Linked DNA regions of Yarrowia lipolytica. The protein of the gene in region 2 interacts with the protein of the main gene of each other region in a biochemical or structural test. Links are inferred from orthologs where the notes say so. Each region holds a gene or a part of one and is shown on either strand. Other genes may lie near its edges.

Region 1 (9,408 bases), on a different chromosome or scaffold from region 2:
TGCCCTTCTTGGCGGCCTTGACCACCTCCTCGTGGGGCTGCACGGCCTCCAGAAGCGATGCGGTGACCTTGAACTCGTCGGCCAGCTGCTCCTTCTGGCTCTGGCTCAGGTAGACAGTGGCGTCGAGGATCTTGTCGATTTTGGCGATCTGAGAGAGCGAGATGAACGCGTTGGGCTGTCGCACCTTGGTCAGCTTGTCTCGGGTCTCGTTGAGCTCCTTCTCCACGGTCTCGGGGCTGCTCTTGGGCACCACGGTTCCAAACTTGGTGACCTCAAACTTGGCATCAAAGTCCTTGACGTCAGAAGAAGTGTTGAGAAAGGCGTCGGCAAACCGAGCAGCCTCAGCGTTGGTCCATCCCAGAGTTCGGTAGTGGGCCATCTTTTGGGCTCGAGCAGCCAGCTCACTGTTATCGAAGCCCAGCTCCTTGAGCTTGGCAGCCAGCTTGTCGGTGAGGGCCTGCTCCTCAGCCTGCTTGACGGCCCGACGCTCGGAAATCTCCTCCAGCAGCTGCTGCTCCTTGTTGGGTCTCCATGCGAGCTCGGCCTCGGCTCTCTTGGGGTCGGAAATCACATTTCGGCCAAACCGTCGAGCTCGGGGAGCCATGTGGTCGGTGGGAAGTCGGGCTTCAGGGGTCAGACCGACGCCGACGAAACGACGGGTGGGGTGGAACGGATCATAGTAGAATCGCACGTATCCAGGCTCCTTGGCGTAGATGGTGTGATCTCGACCGATCCATGTGTTCTCGCCAGGGTAAAACTTGGTTCCTCGCTGTCGGTAGATGATGTCCGAGGGCTGGACATAGGTTCCCTCGGTGGCCTTGACACCCAGTCGTCGACCAATAGAGTCCTTGAGGTTGGTCTTACCTCCTCCAGCTCGCTTGGTGGCATGTCGCACGAGAGGCAAGGCCAAAAGAGACACGGCCTGGGGGCCCGAAAGGGACACAGAGAAGGCAGCGCCGGCGGCAGCCCGGGCACGGACCGCGGACTTAACTCCTGAAAGTCGCAGCATTGTGGTTCTGAAGAGTGTGTGGGTTTTCAGCGATTTCTGCGTGCACTGTTGGGACTCTCTACAATGGTTCAATGCTAATTTTCACGTCACGTGCAGTGGAAAAGTTTATTTTCGGATGACACTGGGTAGACGGTGCAAGGGGCGTAGATTGACAAACTTAGAGGAGCAGCAAGGGCTTTCGAGATGACGGGCCATCAAACATGATTGTAGAGCTTAGGGAAGGGGTACCGATATTTGGGTGATTTAGTTGAGACCCAATTGGAATGTTTGGCGTCGTGAATTCTACTTGGAGTGCGTATACTAGATCGGCACGCATAACTCGTTAGTTAAGCATGTAGTTGGGGTTAGTTGAGAAAGTAGTTATGGTTAGTTGATAAAGTAGTTAGGGTTAGTTGAAGAGATGCTGTTGAAGAGAGTGGCTGAGGATTTCGAGACACTCACACAACGATGGCTCCAGCGAATGCACCAGTGTGGACAACTGCCCTGAACAATGCACTGGTGTATCCTTACCCATTGCCATTAATATATCTGGTTATAACAACATCGGCGGTAATACAAGATACATACTTGTAGTTCTATCTCAGAAGTCTCCTCCTACAAATTAATAGCCTTGACTTACTCGTGATGTACAGAACCATTTGATTGAACGACATAGTAAAACCAATGGTATCTTCTCTGTCACACGAGATAATATTCCACACACACGAGAAAATAAACCGCACAAGCGTATTGCTCGGGCCGTTCACGCTTTCTGTCGAACGCACTAATTACAGTGTAAGGACAAGATAACGACCAGAATGAGATCCGAAGACGTCTCATGGGGGGTATCGCAGATTTAGATGAGCAACGGCAAGGGTACGTACGTATACGATTAGACACACAGTGGTAGTTTTTTCTGGGGGTTATCGACATTTGGTCATGATATATCCACTACACTGGTATGTATGTACTCCTACAGTATGTGCAGTTATTGGTTGCTTGTACTATGGCCGCGATAGCAGCAGTTAGTTGTGGCGATTCTGAACAGTGTCCCAGTTAAATATTTACATAATAGTTTATCTTTTCTATCCAGGAATATCAAATGTACAAGTACGAAGATGGATACCGAATATGAGCATACCAGATAGAATATCTCGGTTCAATACAACACTGCGATCTTTTTCAGACCGAGATCAGGCAAACAAAAAGCTCATCGCCTCAAGCAGCTTTCGATGCTTTCGATGACAAGGAACTGTCCATCCAAGTAATTATTGGAACATGAGTCTCGGTACGGGAGTGATGAGAAAGATGGCGAGTAAGAGGGCGTCTGGCTATTGAGAAGATTCAATAACTTGATATACTGTACAACACAAGTAGGAGTGTCGGTACTCTTCCAGATCATTGTCAAAACCAAGCATTAGACTTGTTTCTTTTATCGTGTTTTATCTAATACCACGTTGCTCAAGAACAGTTGAATGGAAAGCTTTGGCAAGGGTGACAAACCGCTAGTTTCCATTCTGAGGGACAAATTCGCTCAGCCGTTTGTTATATATCCAAGGGCTCCTTTCATATTGTCGACGACCCCCTTATGGCTCTGACAGAGCAAACCAGGGCTCCCAACACCAACGAAGACACGGCATATCGATGTGGAGAGTCGTACAAGGAATGTGTTGTCATTCCTGCACCTAGTCCCGAGCTCTTCACCAACAAACACTATTCTCCATCGTTTGATGAAGAGCAGTTCCAGGACCTTGTCAGGCAGTCTAACTACATTTTCCGCCAGTTGGAGTTTTGATACATACGTTTGACTTCATCCTTCAGGTCTGCAGATATAAAGTATTGATTTGCAGTGAGAGAAAAAGATGGACTACCAGCATAGTATGTATGTCCTGGTACATAGTAGAATCACCTCCGTCTCTCAAGACGGCTTATTCCTCCAATCAGATCATTGAAGCCGTATATCACCACAAGGATTAGTTACAAGCCCTGATGAACTTGTTGTCTTTTCCTGGTAAGCTGCAAGCTGCGCTTGTGAACGCCCATCGCCATGATCACTGAGCATGACCCATCCCACTCTTACGTCCAGTATGCTGTACTAACAAGAACCACTTTTGTTTCATCTTGCAATGCTTCATTCCCTCAGCCAGAGCAACATCTGCAGGGCGACCAGACGTCTCCAAGAAGTCAGCGAGACATCCAGCATAGTCTCTATGGATGATTCGACACTGGCTCTTGTTTCCGTCAATATCACGCTCCTCCCAACCGTTACCCCTCTTGGCACAGTCCCAAGATACCTCTGGCCCTGAGTATTTGGCCATGGTGTGCAAGGCGAGTCTGTAGAGCATCATGTCGCGCTTGTTGATGAAGACAATATCGTCTTCCAGCAGCATGCACAGTTCGTGGGAGCCGTTGGAGCAGTCTCGCAGCGTCTGGGCGTACTTGTTTCGGTACTTGTTTTCGATCCATTCCATCCATTTGAACATTTCCGGTGTTCGGAACTTGTACTCGGGGTTCTTTTTGAGAATCTCCCGTTCCTCGTCATTCTCAGCAGGTCGGTACTTAATCTTGGGAGGAGGCCCTGGGTTTGTGAACCCCTCGGGAGGAGGAACCAGCTTGTAATCCCACCGCGTATGAGCCTTGCACTGCGGGGCGACTTGCGGCGCGTCTGAGTCCAGCATAAATGTGCCCTCTCGAATCCAGTCGGTGAGATGGCCACATTCACGCTCGCATGTTGTGGTCAAGATGTAGGTTTTGATTCTGCTTTTGCCGGCCTTTCTGTCGAGCCATGACAAGTCCTTACCCAGCACGACCATCGATATGAATGCCCCCGTCAGGGCCAGGGCCGTAGCCAACGCCAGCACCCGCTTGTATCTCATGGTGTAATGTTGTGCCGTGTCTCAAAGTCGATAACCTTCATTTTTCGTCTATCATTGAACTGAAGATATGTCAACTTTATTTGTGACATTCAAACACCTGCTCATGACCACTGTACAGCGGAAAACGGCTTGTCGAGGGGAGGGGGGATCCAGCAGCATATATATACTATCCCGAGTTACACAAACACACGGGTTTACAGATCAAACCTGGAACATGACATTAATTGCAACAGTTCCGTGGTACGACCGGATCGAAAATTTGCCACTCCAGCAACAATGGCAATTTGGACATGACAGCGAGCGTACCACCATAGTCATCTCTCTCGTTTATCAGTCCCACAAAACATCATCATCATCATCCTTTCAATATATACACAGACTTCGTCCCTCCCCCTTTTTCTGTACAGAAGTCCGTTCGTTCACACACACACCGACATCGTCATGGTGGTATGCTAACCTGGGGTCCAGCTTCACGCTTTGATCCGCCGCATCTGATATGTCCCTTTTGTCTGTCTTGTCGTTCAGCGTCCGCTGTCGTTTAAACAGCAGAGTGAAGCTGCTCGTTCTTCTTGGCGAGGTTCTTGTCGGCATGCTCAACCACCAGAGGCTCGCCGGCGTACATCTGAGAAATGACGGACTGTCGCTTGAGCACGCCGAGTTCCTTCTCGGCGTACTTGATAGCAGACTCAATCTCGCCCTTGTCGGTGAGATTTCGGTTGGCATGGAAGCCGTCCCGGGTTCGTCTGATGGCGTACTGTCGGAAGTTGTAACCGGCCATTCGGTAGCCGTTTCGCAGCAGCTGTCGGTAGAGATCCAGAGCAAGGGCCTTGTGTGCGGTCATTTTCGAGGATGGAGGAGTGTGTGGTGGGTTCTAAGAATCGGTGTACGGTCCAAAAGTTGGGGAAGGCACAAGTGCTTTTATTGGGGGGTTTGGGTTCGAGTGGAGATGCTTTGCGCTGATAGGGTTCTTAGTAATGCCGAGTTGAGGAGTGAGAGGGGGCGAGTTTGAAGGGGAAATGAAGGTTGAGAGCAAGAGAGCAAAGAATCTCTAACCTATTGTATATTGAATCACACTTGCCCTTGAGTTTCCCCCATGTTTTTGCCCCACTTTCAAACTTCGCCACACGATTAAATTCAAGACACCTGTGAGATTCGAACCCACGTGTGGAAGCCAGTCGAAAGATGACTCAGCGGGCTATGGACAGACGCAGTCTGGACTTGCAGAAGAAACGTGAGTGATTGAGAGGGCCCTGGAAGTGTGCCTGAGATCAGAGACAAAAAAACAAACGACCACAGCGATGAAAAGGGAAACAAACAGACAAAAGATAATGACCTGATTGTGCTGGAATCGATCAATTCACAAAGCTGTCTCTGATGTATTTGAAAAGTTGTCTTTGATGTTTCTGAAAACAACTCTCAGCTCTACATTATGGGATGGAATACATACAGTACAGTCAACAGTCAACAGTCAACAGTCAACAGTCCACAGTTGCAAGTCCAACTCCAACCAGCTACTGTACAATACTTGTACAAGTACTCGTACTTCCGGTAGTTGGTTTCTGCGTGTCACGAAGTAGTTGCCCAACTACAAGTACCAATAAGACATGAATACACCTGACTGTTATGTTACAGGTTCGCACGATTGCATGAGCTGTTTCAAAAGCACCTACCAAGTACGATATGTAGCGCTACAAGGAGCCAGCGCGCTCGTCCTGTTACAGCTACAAGCGGTGATGGAAGACATTGTTGCTTTTTCCAATTGACTACTCGTTTCGGGTTGTTGATTTCATTTCCCTACAAGTAATACACCACTGTAGCCATTTTACAGGAGCTATAACTCAAGGTTACGCCCAAAAAAACAGGGAAATAATATTTTTCTGTTGTCTGCGAAATCTGAAACGTGAGCACGTCAAATGCGAAAATACGCGACGATCTATACGGTGATTGTCATCTTTGGCAAGCAGACCAACCACTTATTATTTCTCACCCAACTATGAAGGAAAAAGCAAGTCCACCTGTACCGACCAGCCCTTATGTCTACAGCTGTGCTGTGGAGGTCGTACTCTTAGCGTAGCCTTGTGGGGTGAGAGAATTAAAAAAAAAGACGATTTAAGTAAGAACATGAAGAAAATGGTTGTTACTTGAAAGAAAATGGTTGTTACTTGAAAGAAAATGGTTGTTACATGAAAGAAAAATAATTGCTTCATAAAAGAAATGATTTGTTCCACTAGACGTCTGGATACTGGCTCGTAATACAATACTGGATTTTTTGATCCACGACCCTCGCTCAAAAGACGACGTCTCCAGTTTGACTCGCCTATAAAACGTAAAACGTCCAGCCGCACAGGCAGGGTCCACACTGCCCCTATAAAAACTGCTGTATAACTGCGGTTCATGTATTTTTTTTGTATCCACTATTCCAACGCACTGCTGAACCCCTAATGGCTGCTAACCGTCTGTGGCTGCCAACTAATGCACCATTCACTCGGGTGGAGGATAATTATTTCCACCTGCACGCCGACGATGGAGGTTTAGGAGGTTGAGTGCAGTCCATCAGTTGCTATGAAAGTGCACCTGTACGAGCACAAGGAGGAAAAACACAGAAGCCGGTATCTCATTGCATCCCCTTAGAAAGATATCGATTAGATCCCGAAAAAGGGGTTGAACAGGAGAGGGAGAAGTAGAACGGTTGTTTTCTTGTTCTAAGCGAGCCGTGCGAGGTATCGTGCAGTAGAATTAGAGGTTCTGGAAGCTCCAAACTAATCAATATCTACGGCTAGGCGGTGTGTAGAGTTAATGGATATGGAGACCACATTTAAAATGTTTGATTGTCCAAGTCATAGATCAAGCCCATCACTCAGATAGAGGACTAAGTACTACAAGTGGAGAAAGGTTCGTTCTCCACCGGTGCCAACCCACCTTTACAATCAGGGGTTCACGAAAAGAGCGCTCAGGCTCACAGTAGAGAATGTATCAGTGCATAAAACCAATTGCATACCTACATGGCAAGCGCCACCCCCGCTAGATCCGCTATGGTGCGTACTGGTACGTAAACAATGCCTCTTACCGGTGAGTTAGGACATGCCGACCAAACGGCCCCGTATGTCCGTGGAGGCGACAAAACGAGTGGTTGGGTGGCATTTTAAAGAGCTATAACCGGCTAAACAGACCCATCCGTTAGTTATGGGTCAAAAGGGCCAGATCTGAATGTTCTCGGCCCAGTTTTGAGCAGGAACGACGCCATGGGGTCCATGGGGTCGAGATGCAGGTGCAGGTACACACACTTGGGCTGGTATGATTTGTGATCATTCTGTGCACCAACGGTATGTGCAGTAACCACTTATTTCTCGTGTACTTGACTTGTTCCGTACTTGACTTGCTTCTTGCCGGCTCTTCACTGGGTCCCTTCTTTTAGACTCGATGGACCCGTTTGTCTCGCGAGATACAAGTGGATGGGGAAAATAGGATTTAACACAAAGTTCTTACACGTCCAAAAACGGAACAATTGCAAACCTAAACAAAACCATGCACCCCCGATTGGGAAAGAGGTATACACAGATTTGGGTCAATACAAACAAATGTCGGAGCATAGATTGTCCACGCGGCGTGAACGGTGATAGTCGAGTGGCAGCAGGCGCATTGGATGATGGGTCTGGGTAGACCAAGAGATGGAGAGGCGAGAGCGCCAAAGTTCAATATTATCGGAGCGGGCATCGGCGTCATGTCGCTGAGCTCCAGTACATGGGGTGCTAATATTATTTGATTGGGAGCCCAAATAATATCTGCACAACTTTTTTCAGACTGAGCTGACACAGACAAGACGGTTATTATTTCGTGGAGATGGCTGGAATGCACCCCTGCCTCGATACATGTGTGTCTTGGAAAGTGGTGGTGACGTAGTGTACTGACCATGGTGGTATTGATGGTACCATGTTGTTGTAGCTACAGCGAGTAGGCGGTGCGAGCTTACCACCTAAAGTAAGTGTACAACCTACTGTACTGGGCTTGTACAATGCTCTACCCTACATTGCAACACCTCAATCACGCACAATCTCGCCCGTCAAGCAGAGTCGCAACTACGGTAGTCTCACCACGCTATAACCATACTCATGCGTAAAGATCCGGTTGCACGAGTCTGTTTTTTGTGCTTCGTCTCGGTCGCTCTGACTGCTTGAAAATAACTCAGTTTGTTATTTTTCATGTACTGTAAGATGTGCAGCTTGCAGACCATTGATCGGAGCCAACCTAGTGTCTACGGACCCCGACCTCCTCAGTATTATATCAGCCGTTTTGGCGGACGGAGACATGTGTCTAAAGCGTGTCGCTCTAGCGGGGCAGCTACTGCAATAATATCGGGTTATTATAGGACAGGTTTTGGGCCTTTGGCGAGCTCGGGTGTGGTATAGTGCCAGTAGCATGCTCCATCCACTTGACAACCTAGAGCGGTCCAAGCATAAGTACAGACTCAGACTCTCTACATACTGTGCACCGGAGTACAAGTACCGGAGCTTGGCCGAAATGAAAGCCTAGGCCGTGGACCCCAGCCAATGCAGACCGTTGGGTTAGCCGAACTTGGGCCAGCTGTCACTGTTGGATCCCGCAGTGGTACAGATTACAAGGCCCGACAAAGTAGCTCGTTTGCTGCTGCTTTAGCCCACTCCACAATGGTCCCCACTACCCAAAGTGTATCTGGAACACAATGTCATTGAGTTGACAGCGACAGGCGATACACTCTTTGCTGGTTGCGGTGCGTACAGTTGAGAGTGAAAACCTATTACTGTGCTGTAATTACACACACTAGGTTCGAGCACTATCTGGCCTTGTGGTGTAGAGCCGATGGTGATCAGATGTGGTTTAAGACATGAGGTTGTAGATTGGAACAAGACAGGTCCACACGGACCACACGCACAGTACATAGAAAGAAAAACGAGTTACAAGTAGTACATCCTCTCTTCAAGCAAGTCTCCGCCACTACTAGTAGCTCCTGCACGAACGTTGATGAATGGAAACATGACATGGTCTCAGAGGCGCCACCACCCTCCTGCGCCATCTCCCCACTCTACAATCTGGGTGCCGTATGCTGTATGTGCAAAGTGCAGCGAGCATTGGGCATGAAGAGGAGGAGGAGTAGGTACCAGACCCACAAAGTGTGCGACACTGGATCATGACGAGAGTACTTGTGCTTGCTCCTCGTATAGCTGTCATTGTATCATCTTGACAACGTTGCATCCTGGCAGTGTATCGGTAGGATGACACGGTCCGGCAGCAAGGCTGAAAAGTGGTCGCTTTTGTAGCTACCCAAACACGGTACTTGGTAGGTACCGTGTCTGGGTGGAGCAGAGAGGTTCGCCTTTTATCTTTCACATCTATCAACATTGCCTCATAGGTCCCAAATGACCCAATCCGTCTCGAACTTGCTCCCGCCGCTACTGAAGCCACAGGTAGCAGGTAACTCGGCCAGTCCAAACCACACGTAACACGTTCTTTTTTGGCGTAGCTGCACAGTTTTTGGTTCGCCTTTGTGTTTTTGTGTTTTTTTTCTCC
Region 2 (10,706 bases):
GTTGTTCCATGTGGGTGAGTATGGAGCTGATTTGGTCAGCAAATCCGGGGATGGACGAGACGGGCAGAAGCTCCAGGCCTCCGTGCGCCATACAGGTTCCGGATCCTGCTCCTCCATCCGAGCTTGGGGTGCTCATGGAAGACGGAGATGATTCAATGTCGACTCTGAAGTTTCGCACCGCCGCCTCCACGTGGGCTCGGGATCCCACATCGCTGATGAAGGTGGCGCCCTTGTGGATTCCCCTGGACGCCACTCCATTGCCCCAGGTTAGCACTTTTTTGTACTCGCACGCGGCTCCCGCCTTGACACACCGTTCACACGCGGGTTTTTCCTCGTCGCACTTGCGCTTAAGCTGTTTGCACCGCAAGCATCCGTTTCTCGATTTCTTCATGGCCCTTGACGTGTCTGGCAACGTGCAACGCGGTATATCTGCTGTGGTTTCTGTCTCTTCTCTGTCTTCTGGCATGTATTTATTCATGCACTGCTTAAACTTTGCTCTACTCGTTAACTCCCATTTTAGCCTTTTTTATATAGCCCAGCTCAAATTTTTTTTTTTAAAAAATATACAAGTCAAGTTCAAAATATTTCGTCCAGCAGCGTTAGAGTTCGACTTGTACAGTAGGTTGGCACAACAAACTGGCCTGTTGCCATGTGAATCAAACTCTTTTTCAGACCACAAGCAGATCCCTAACACCACAAGTCCGACAGACAAACACAGACACGGCTCCGGCAAGTGTGGAAATGGCGGCTACTGTCAAGAACAATGGTCTGAAAAGTCTTCTCCCGGAGCCCCAACTCCGAAGGTGGTGATGGTGGCGGTGATGGAGCTGTGTATCGGAATGCATAGGCGAGGTTGTTGATAGAGTAGCCTACTTGTACTGGTGCAAGTATCGCGTTTGTAATTTCACAAGGATGTGCTACTTGTAGAGACGGAGAGGAGGTTGGTGGGAGAGAAACTTGCACACGGCAATGCTCTCTCAGGGTCTCTCATCTTGCACCGTTCGAGGTTGGCCTTCGCTTAATCTTTTTCAGATCAACCAGACGCTCAGATAGTCCCACTAGCTCGCTGCTAATGCACCTCCGACTTGGACATTTTCATCTCTGCCAAGCTGCAGTCTCCAAGATGGGGTATGCAGAAAGAACTGAAATCCTGAAAAGAGTCTTGCTAACGGTCCATGTCGTCGTGTGGAGGTGGGTGCGGTTGGACAGCATCTGAGAAGACATGTACCCCCAGCCCAAAAGCAACACTCTGGAGTCTTCAGTCACACCGTTTCCTCCGACTTCTCCGACCTGTCAAAAAACCCCTACGAGTGCTTACTTTGTAGTGTATATGCTACAGTACACACTTGTGCCTTGTTTGTTCAGGGACATCCGTCGGATGCTTCCCACCCAGATGTGGTTGAGACGTCATGATGAATCAGACAAGCGACGGTGAGGAGTGACAGCAAGAAGGGGGTTGATTGGCCCATAATGGTGCGTTCGTAGTGTACACTCCCGCGAGCGTCTGTGGGTAGTCTCGTCGGCCACGTCTCGTAATCCAACAGGTGTGATTCCTTCATTGGACCTCAGACTCAAGTGCGGGCACACAACCGAGTCCAAGGTGCCAGTGTCAACACGCTCGCCCTTTTTACAACCTAATCCCTGCCCTGCCTATAGGTAAGACACAGCCAAGCACGGTAAAGCATACATGTGGCATATGCGCCGGTTCCATGTTACAGAAGAGTCGGGGTTGAGTTGTCCAAGACGACGTGCACTCGTGGATGTTTATTTTCGACTGTAATCCGCCCTGGGGAAGCTCGGTCGGAACAGGAAGCATCTTTTGGAGAACCTCCGGTCCGAGTCAGTTTCTTTTAACGACTCCGTCCGAGCCGTAACTCAGTCACCACCTGACTCTCAGCCGTTGTCACCAGCCTCTTGAGTGTGAAAAGCGTGTGCAAGAAGCTACAAGCAAGTAGGGACAAAAGCAAAAGTCAGCCTGAAAAACCAGCCCAACCCTAACGACGTGTTCCAGAAGCACTCAGCCGACGCTCAGACAATGGACGCTTAGGTTTGCAGGTATACGAGACTGTAGATCGGGCCGTATGGCGGTGGTGGGTATTGTTGTCCGTAGCCGGGTTCCCCTAGCGATGATGACCGTATCTAGCGTGCCAGAAGCTGGGTCTCAGTTGGACGATAGCTCCAAAGAAGACCTTGCAAAGAAGCAGACTGGCCTTGGAGACGAACAAACAGTCTAATGTAAATTTCCACCAAGCGTTTACTTATGAACCGTCCATGTATGTCATTTGCTCTGCTCTTTGACAGGGAGGAGGTATATCAAACAAGAAGCACCAGTAAATACTGTATATACATGCCATGTACACCACACCAGGCTTAAACCGTCTCAATACCCATTGGATCGCTAGTTCACCAGGTTGAACCACTAGCACACTGTACCTTCGGACCCGAGTTGCATCCAAGTTGCTTTTTTGATTGTCTCAAGATAGAGTATTAATCTCAGCTTGCTTTTTTGGCTGCTCTTCCCGCCAACGTTTCATAATGACGACGTATCTACCCGAACCACCATCTCCCCTACAGGTGCCCTTACTCGCGGTCGTCGAGAAATCCCTCGACTTATGTCAGTCTTTGTCTTCACCTATTGTCTAATTATTACACTACATTACACCCTATAAATCTTCACTAATGAACTCCCTCCAACGCCCGCCATTTCCACTGCATTGGTACACAGGTGCAGGGGAATGGAGAGTTTTGCATATTCGACAAAACAGGCAAGTCCAGCAGGAAGCTAATAGAAGCGCGAGGGAAAGAGATGGGGCCCTCTAATTGTACACTGGCGACTTTTCCTGCTCTCTCGCGGTCCCGCCACGTCAAAGTACCGGCTCCAGACACCATTGTCGTCCGTCTCATTCGCAAGCCCTGCACTTGCACCATGTGTGGTGGTGCTCCCTGCAAGGATGAGAGATGTGCCTAAAGTTCTTCATTTCCCATGTGCAGAAAAGCCAAACCGAACCTCACCACGAACAAGCGTCTTGTACACCAACCACTAATGGCACAAACCACTTGTGAGCTTGTAAGCGAGGGGTTTGTAGCGGGAAAAAACAACAGGTAGGTTGGAAAATTGACCTCTTCCTCGACCCTTTGCTGTCACGGCTCGAAAACCCCCTTGGTAGTCAGACATCTGACAGCTGCCAGCTCACGCATCTACTGTAACTCCATCTGACAGCAAAGCGTCGAGCAAGAGCCCCCAACAGACCTCGGGATGTTGTGTTACCCGTTTGGGTGCTCACGGAAACTACATCGACTTCCAAAATAACCCCAAACTAATGCAACCTTTGATTTTTTGCCCATCTTATAGATCGTGTGAGTGAGATCCATACAAGAGTCCCGCAACGAACCGATCCGTTACCCTAGAGACTGGAACTAAAGAGAGAACAGATGCTGGAGATGACATCGGAATAAAGGACGTTAGTCTGCAGAGCCCGAGTGCCCGTTACCATGCTGTATGTTGCTCAGCCAGGCTATCTACAATCCAGCTACTCAACCGTCTGGTCAGGTCCAACAACCCTCGTCATATGTGGAGAACTACACACATACTTGCAACTGCTCTCTTTGGAAATCCTTCTACACCCATAAGCATGCCATAAACGAACGCCTTTCGTCCCTTACGCCTATCGCAAAGATGCTACTGCCGCTACCGGCACCTCCGCAGCCTTCACAGCTAAGCTCAGAGTTGGACTACAGTATGTACTGGACCAACCAAGCTCAGAGATCCAAGCACCAAGCTCAAAAGTGGAGACTGGAGAGTTATGCTTGCACTAAAGACCATTAGGCATGTCTGGTGTAAGCCGTATCGAGACCAGGTCACATTTCAGCTCAAACCCTAGCAACTGCTTGAGCTACGGGCCATGTCGGCTAACGCCCCCCTCGAATGTCTGTTGCGGTATGTGCCAAACGATTCGCACAGCATGTACTCGCACCGGCGACCTTCCAGGTGTTTATCGGTGTCGTATGTTTGACTCCTTACACGGAATTGGAACGACAAAGAGAAAGGAGTTGAACTGACCTTCACTAAGACCCCCCCAAGACGATTAGTTCGGTATGTAACTCTTCGTTTCCTCGAGTAGAAGTGGACTCTCTTGCCCTAATCCTTGAAACTGGGCTATATCTCGTATCAGCTACTGCACCCTTAGTGATTCTGCACTATGGTTAGCTGCATTTTACCACTAGGATAGCACATGACAATACAACACTACGCCAACCACCATCTTCAGGTACTACACGGATACAAGCCAATCGTGGTGTCATCAACTACCCATTGGCTGCTGGAGCATATTGGAGTCGTCCGTAGGAATACTGGTTGGAACGCAGACTACAAGTAGCCAATGATAAGCCATATTCTTCACGTCCACTCTTTCTCAACTCATATCTCTACCTTACTATCATTCACTATTCATCACATGCCATGCCTATATATCACGGCTCATCAGTTTTTTGTTTATTGTTGCGGATCTAGTTGCACCTGATTCGTACACTTGTCTAGAACAGTTCATACCGCTTATCATGGTTGCGCAATGTTTTTGCTGGCTGCCATGTTCGCTTAATGCTGAGACCACTCAATAGAATCCAAATCAATACCCTCCTGGACCATCTCCCACAGAGGAGACAGCTCTCGCAGGAAGTTGACTCGCTCCTGCACGGCCTTAAGCACGTAGTCGACCTCGGCCTCAGTGGTGAATCGACCAATACCAAATCGAATGGAGGAGTGGGCAAGAGCGTCATCGGCACCAAGAGCCCGGAGCACGTAAGAGGGCTCGAGAGAGGCAGAGGTGCAGGCGGATCCAGAAGAAAGAGCAATGTCCTTGAGAGCCATCAGCAGAGACTCTCCCTCAACGTAAGCAAAAGAGATGTTGACACAACCGGGGTAGTGGTGCTCAGCGTCTCCGTTCAGAGAAGTGTGCTCCATGGCCAGGAGACCGTTCTTGAGCTTGTCAGACAGCTTCTTAATGTGGGCGGTGTCGTAGGGCATCTCCTGTCGACACAGACGGGCAGCCTCTCCAAAGCCAGCAACGAGGGGGGCAGCCAGAGTTCCAGATCGAAGACCTCGCTCCTGACCTCCACCGGTAATGATGGGCTCGAGACGCACTCGGGGTCGTCGTCGCACGTAGCAGGCACCGATACCCATGGGGCCGTAAAGCTTGTGTCCACTTATGCTCATAACATCAATCTTGTCGGCGTTGACGTCGATGGGGATCTTTCCGACGGCCTGGGCAGCATCGGTGTGGAAGAAGACCTTCTTGGATCGACACAGAGCGCCAATCTCAGCAATGGGCTGGATCACACCAATCTCGTTGTTGACGGCCATGATGGACACCAGAGCAGTGTCGGGTCGAATGGCGGCCTCCAGCTGCTTCATGTCAATGAGACCGGAGGACAGAACGGGCAGGTAAGTGACCTCGAAGCCCTCATCCTGCAGGTATCGGCACGAGTCCAGAATGCACTTGTGCTCGGTCTGGGTGGTGATGATGTGTCGCTTTCGGCCCTTGTAGAACCGGGCAATACCCTTGATGACCATGTTGTTGGACTCGGTGGCGCCGGAGGTGAAGATGATCTCCTTGGGGTCGGCTCCGATTAGGGCGGCAATCTCCTCTCGCGCCTTTTCGACAGCGGTGTCGGTCTCCCATCCGTACGAGTGTGTTCGCGAATGGGGGTTGCCATACATGTCCGTATAGTAGTTGAGCATCACGTCCAGCACACGGGGGTCCGTGGGGGTAGTGGCCTGCATGTCCAGGTAGATGGGTCGCTCATCGCCGGCAGGAGCGTTCTGGACAGCCTCGACGGCCTTGGCCACCAGAGATCCCTCAGGCGCAGAAGCGGTGAAGGTCTCTGTGGAGGGCGCGTGGGTGGCCAGGGATCGGGCCAGCGAGGGGTACGCGGTCCTGGTGGCCATTGCACGGCCCACGCTTCGAAACGCAAGTCGGAGGGTCATTGCGTGTGTGTAGTCTTGTGTGGGTGGAGGTAGACAGTTGTAGGTGCACCGTTTTCTCTGGGGAAGCCAATTTTGGGAGGTGTAAATCACGGCACGTGTAAACGAGATACTGGACGGTGGCGAAGAATAGTAGAGAGCAAGTGGGTCACGGGACAGATAGAGAGCTTATTCTGAAGAGGGGAGAATTTAGAGTAAAACAAGGCTGTTTTTGTCTTTCCATCGTGTAGATTGTGCCTTCTTTTTTCGACATCTGAAATCAACACCCACAGGACATGTATGTTCCAGCCAATAGATAGAGTTATGCAAGAAGAGGTTAGTGGGGGTTGATTGGTAAGCCTCGTGAAGTGCATACCTGGGGAGTGGTCTAGACGTGGTATCGACGGTCTGAGCACGTGATGCGAGATTTATACGTCCTATGACCAGACTGGAACAAAAACACGTGTTTAAAAGTCGACTGAGAAGACTCCTTTTACCCCCTCCCCTGCTACACACCCTCCGCGTGAAACTCGGATGCAGAAAAATATTAATGTAGGCGGAGATATTTCCATGCAGGTGATCCAAGAGAAGCAAAGACCAATAATAGCCGAAAGTCGCAGGGCGTATCCGGCAATAAACTGAGTTCTGGGGTCGGAGAGATGTCATAGAGAGCCATTGGCACGAGTACTGACTAGACGAGCGGTGATATAGATGCTTGTATTTGGTTTGATTGGGTTATGCCCTTGAAACACCTCTTCGTTGCTATGTTAACGAACATTCTGTACAGAACGTACAGAACAGTGTGAGTACTCGAGCGTCTTCCACAGGATTCGAACCGAGACAAGTTGCAGAGTCAATCATGACTCAAATATACTTCCGAGCCGGAGATGGAATCCCTCTCATCGATACAACGCACCCCATCTAACCATGCATATTCTCGGCCACTCACCGGCGCATGCCATCTTGAGATATTGACGTGTGGGCAGGAAATAGTAGTCACGTGATCATATGAATCGGCTGCAAGTAGCAAACAAGCTGGGGTTCAGTTTCACAGCCAGTTTGTTCACCCACATGTGCACCAAGCTACAGTTGCTTGCTTGTTTCAACCGTTTTCTTTGTCGTCGTTTTGAGTTGCCGTTGGATTTCTCCGCAGATTGGCAAGCATATATCTCGATGGGGAGTACTCGAAAAACACATCTCTTTGAAAAAATCATGTCGAAAGCACAAGAAAAGGCTATCTACGTATCCATTTTCCCTTTTCAACTTCGCGTATATCGTCATTCACAGACCAAAACAAAAGAGATCGTGTAACTCAAAGTGAATCAAAGTTTGAAAGAGTTGGGTGGGGGGTCGGCCTTTGAAGGGACGCTCAGTCGGGCTTCCAAGTGTATTATTGTTGTATTTGGCAAGTTGTGTTAGTTTTTACAATCAAATATGGTCAGGTATCTCGGTTTTTGTCAGTTTGTCTCATAGTGCAGTCTCTCAGCACAACTAGCAACACTGCACAACATGCGTCCATCGTGCTTCGAAAGTTGTAAATCGTCGAACAGATGGTCTGTACTGTAGATATACATCAGTAAAGCTGTAGATCAATAGGTTATGTAATAATTCTGCACTATAAGACTTCCGAGTTCATGGTTGCCATCCGTTTACGCATGGTATTGTCGTCTATATACTTGTACTTCACAGCCGTGTACTTGGCTCAGGTTTGCGGTTTGCATGTAATGAGAGCATTCCTTGTAGTTCAGTTGGTCGCACAAATTGATACAGGAGCGTTTCACAGACACATAACTCTCGGTCCAACCATGTGAATCATGTTACAGAGCTCTTCGGTCAGAGGATGATCAGGACCCAGCACGTTCACCAGATGCTGGCCAAGGATCATAATCTTCCGGGCAATAGAGCCCAGCTCAGTTCGGGCAGGCTCGGGCATTTGGTCGTACTGCAAGTGAACCACGTCGTAGTATTGTGCCAGGGCTCCCAGCCTGTTTAGCTGGATTTTGAGGTAGGTGACACAGCCTTGGAGGTCGATTGGGCCGTCATGTTTACTGGAGAAGCTTGACATCATCTTGTTGAAGGGATCGTGCTTGTTGATAGAAAACTTGTGAGCCATTTCGAGCGATATATCTGTGTTTTGTATCTAGCCTGTTTATGGTATGGAGAAGAAGGGATTCTGGATCTTCAGTAAACATGGTTATGGGCATAATGGAAGGGCGCAAAACAGAGCTGAGAGAAGTCATGTAAATGATATCACATTACGCCAGTTTTAGAGGAAGGAAATGTACAGATAATAGAATTGATAAGACGGCAAGAGAACTAGAGTTTCTATGGTTATCTTTTACGGCTACGGAATAGATATCCAGAACGCTCAGAACGACCTTGAACTTTTATGCTACTATCATACATACCACATACTCGTATATCAAGATAATGCGCTATAACCCGATAACTAACTCAGATCCGAAATACCACAAAGAATTCACCAACATAAATCGTTTCTTTCATCATTTTGCTTTCCAAATCGCCCAAAAAGATATGCCATAATGTCAAAGTCTTCGTTACCAGCCTACATTACGATTATCAGCTAAAAAAAAAGGTTTTCGCTTAACAAACGAAGAGTAAATACAACAGAGGAACATTCAAGACACTTCAACAACACATAGTAACATGTCATTAAAGCTGAATTTTTGTGCGCTGACCAAATTAGGTCCAGCGAACTGATTCCTCTTAAAGGCTTGTCTCTATATCTTCTCTACAACCGCCCCTATCTCCCATCCTCCAGTCCCCTTGTCTCCACATAAACTTTCGTACCATAGTCCCAGCTTGTCACATGACCTGGCGATTCTAGGTTTTTCAATTACCACATCACCACAGCCAGCATTATACCCCCATCACAAACAGCAGAATGGAGAACCCGCTTTTGACTGTTCTTTCGCACCGAACCGCGGGAATCGAGTACCGGGGAGTCGTCACTAAGCGTCTGGCGACCCTCAAGCGTCGGCTCGGCGTCCAGACCAAAAACACAAAGGAGTACTCGCCCAAGCAAGTGTCCACCGAAGATGTAGTTCAGGACGCTCGATTCGCACAACTGCTGCTGCTGCAAGCCGAGCGGGCCTGGGCCGTGTCTCAGGAGACGGCATCTATTCTCGAGACCAACGGATCAGCCGGCAAGCGGAAACGGGTGGCATCCAAGCTGACTAAGGCCGTGCAGTATGCCATGGCCCTGGAGCAGTCTGTCTCCGACACACAGAGCGACGAGGTGCGTCTGCAGATCGCCACGTATCGTCTGCTGCTGGAGGGCGCTCTGTACGCACACAAAAAACAGTGGCAGAAGCTGGTGCAGCCCTACTCTGCGGCTCGAGTGGGTCTGTCTGCTCTCATCACTCTGGCCAAGGACGCTGAGGAGGCCGAGCTGCTGGCCGACGTCATTTCCACCCAGATCGACCCTGCTCTCGGTGTCGCCCTGCTCAAGGTTTCTCCTGACCGAAAGCTCGATCTCGAAAACGCCTCCAAGGGCTACGTTGATGCCGGATCCGACTTTGGAAAGTTGGTCGAGAAGATCAATCCCCACGCTCTGGAGGTGGACGAGGCCCACGGACTGGACGAGATTGAGTGGAGAGGCCACCAGGCTAAAATTACCGACCCCGACGTGGCCCGAACCGTCAGCAACGCCCTGACCCAGACCAAGGCCGAGGAGAAGACCATCTCTGACTACGATACTCTGCTGTCGCTGTGGCAGTCTGCCAACGATCTTGTCAAGGAGGAGCTGGAGCGATTTGAGCTGGCCGGAATCGCTGCCCACGACGACACCACCCAAAACGCCCACATTGTGCTGACCTTCATCAACTTCCACATGCTGCAGCAGCGAATCGAGCGAGACCTGCTGCTTCTGAGCGAGGTGTCACAGCTTAAGACGGTCGACCGAAAGGACCACGCCAAAACCAACAAGGAGAAGCTTCCCAGTGCGCTGAAAATCTCCACCCACACCCGACTGTTGCAGCTCAAGGACTCGGTGCGTCTGCTAGGCAACATTGTGCAGTCTGTCGATGAAATTCTCAATCTGGCCGGTGTCTCCAACGACTCCTCCCTCGTTTCTGCTCTTACAGCCACCAAGGCTGCTTACAGAGCCCAGAAGCTTGCTGCCATCGGTGCGTCTTACGACCTGGTTGGAGACTACAAGAACGCCCTTGCTCTCAATAGCAAGGCTCTTCAGCTGCAACAGACTGTCGGTGACGCTGATCATGCTGCTGTCACTGGAATCCAGGTTCCAAAGAACGCCCAGCTCGTTGCAAACACCGCACGACTGCAGGCGCTGGAAACAATTGCCCAGAGACTGACGGAGAAGCCCCTTAACCACCCCGTTTCAGATAACATGGACTCGTATCCCATGGCAACTGCCTCGGACACGGCTCACAACATTGTGGAGTTTGACCAGCGGCTGAAACCCGTGTTGGTCAAGCCCGTCTTCTTCGACATTGCCTACAACTACGTCGATTACCCGGCCGAGGTGCAGGCCGTGGAGACTGCCAAGGGCGGCGAGGAGCAGAAGACTAAGAAGAGTGGATTTTTGGGCGGACTTTTCCGAAAGTAAGGAGACAGGAATATACATATGTAGTAGGAAAATATATAGCTCAAGCAAGTGGCTCTGGGCTTTGGACTTCAGAGATGCTGGATGCAGTACTTGTAGTAGAGAAAGGTGATTCGGTAGTACAGTACCTACACTGGATGATGCAGAATTCGTTCTACG

The links.
Region 1: the proteins of YALI1_C26167g (region 2) and YALI1_D15296g form a complex in vitro, tested with the Saccharomyces cerevisiae proteins (3 studies listed by BioGRID). The link is inferred for Yarrowia lipolytica from reciprocal best matches to the Saccharomyces cerevisiae genes NFS1 and ISD11.

Annotation. Positions count from the first base shown.
Region 1 is NC_090773.1:1,524,938-1,534,345, reverse strand, and holds YALI1_D15296g (uncharacterized protein), read right to left. Parts: upstream 4,706-9,408; coding exon 4,403-4,705; downstream 1-4,402. Other genes in the region: YALI1_D15333g (mitochondrial 54S ribosomal protein bL27m), read right to left, coding at 1-1,009; YALI1_D15304g (uncharacterized protein), read right to left, coding at 3,040-3,864; YALI1_D15288g (uncharacterized protein), read left to right, coding at 5,262-5,415, 5,467-5,627.
Region 2 is NC_090772.1:2,612,056-2,622,761, reverse strand, and holds YALI1_C26167g (uncharacterized protein), read right to left. Parts: upstream 5,984-10,706; coding exon 4,595-5,983; downstream 1-4,594. Other genes in the region: YALI1_C26222g (uncharacterized protein), read right to left, coding at 1-478; YALI1_C26215g (uncharacterized protein), read left to right, coding at 1,073-1,191, 1,235-1,325; YALI1_C26209g (uncharacterized protein), read right to left, coding at 1,408-1,617, 1,664-1,816; YALI1_C26161g (uncharacterized protein), read right to left, coding at 6,170-6,625; YALI1_C26146g (uncharacterized protein), read right to left, coding at 7,737-8,072; YALI1_C26138g (uncharacterized protein), read left to right, coding at 8,865-10,550. UniProt on the Saccharomyces cerevisiae protein: Catalyzes the removal of elemental sulfur from cysteine to produce alanine. It supplies the inorganic sulfur for iron-sulfur (Fe-S) clusters. Plays a role in both tRNA-processing and mitochondrial metabolism.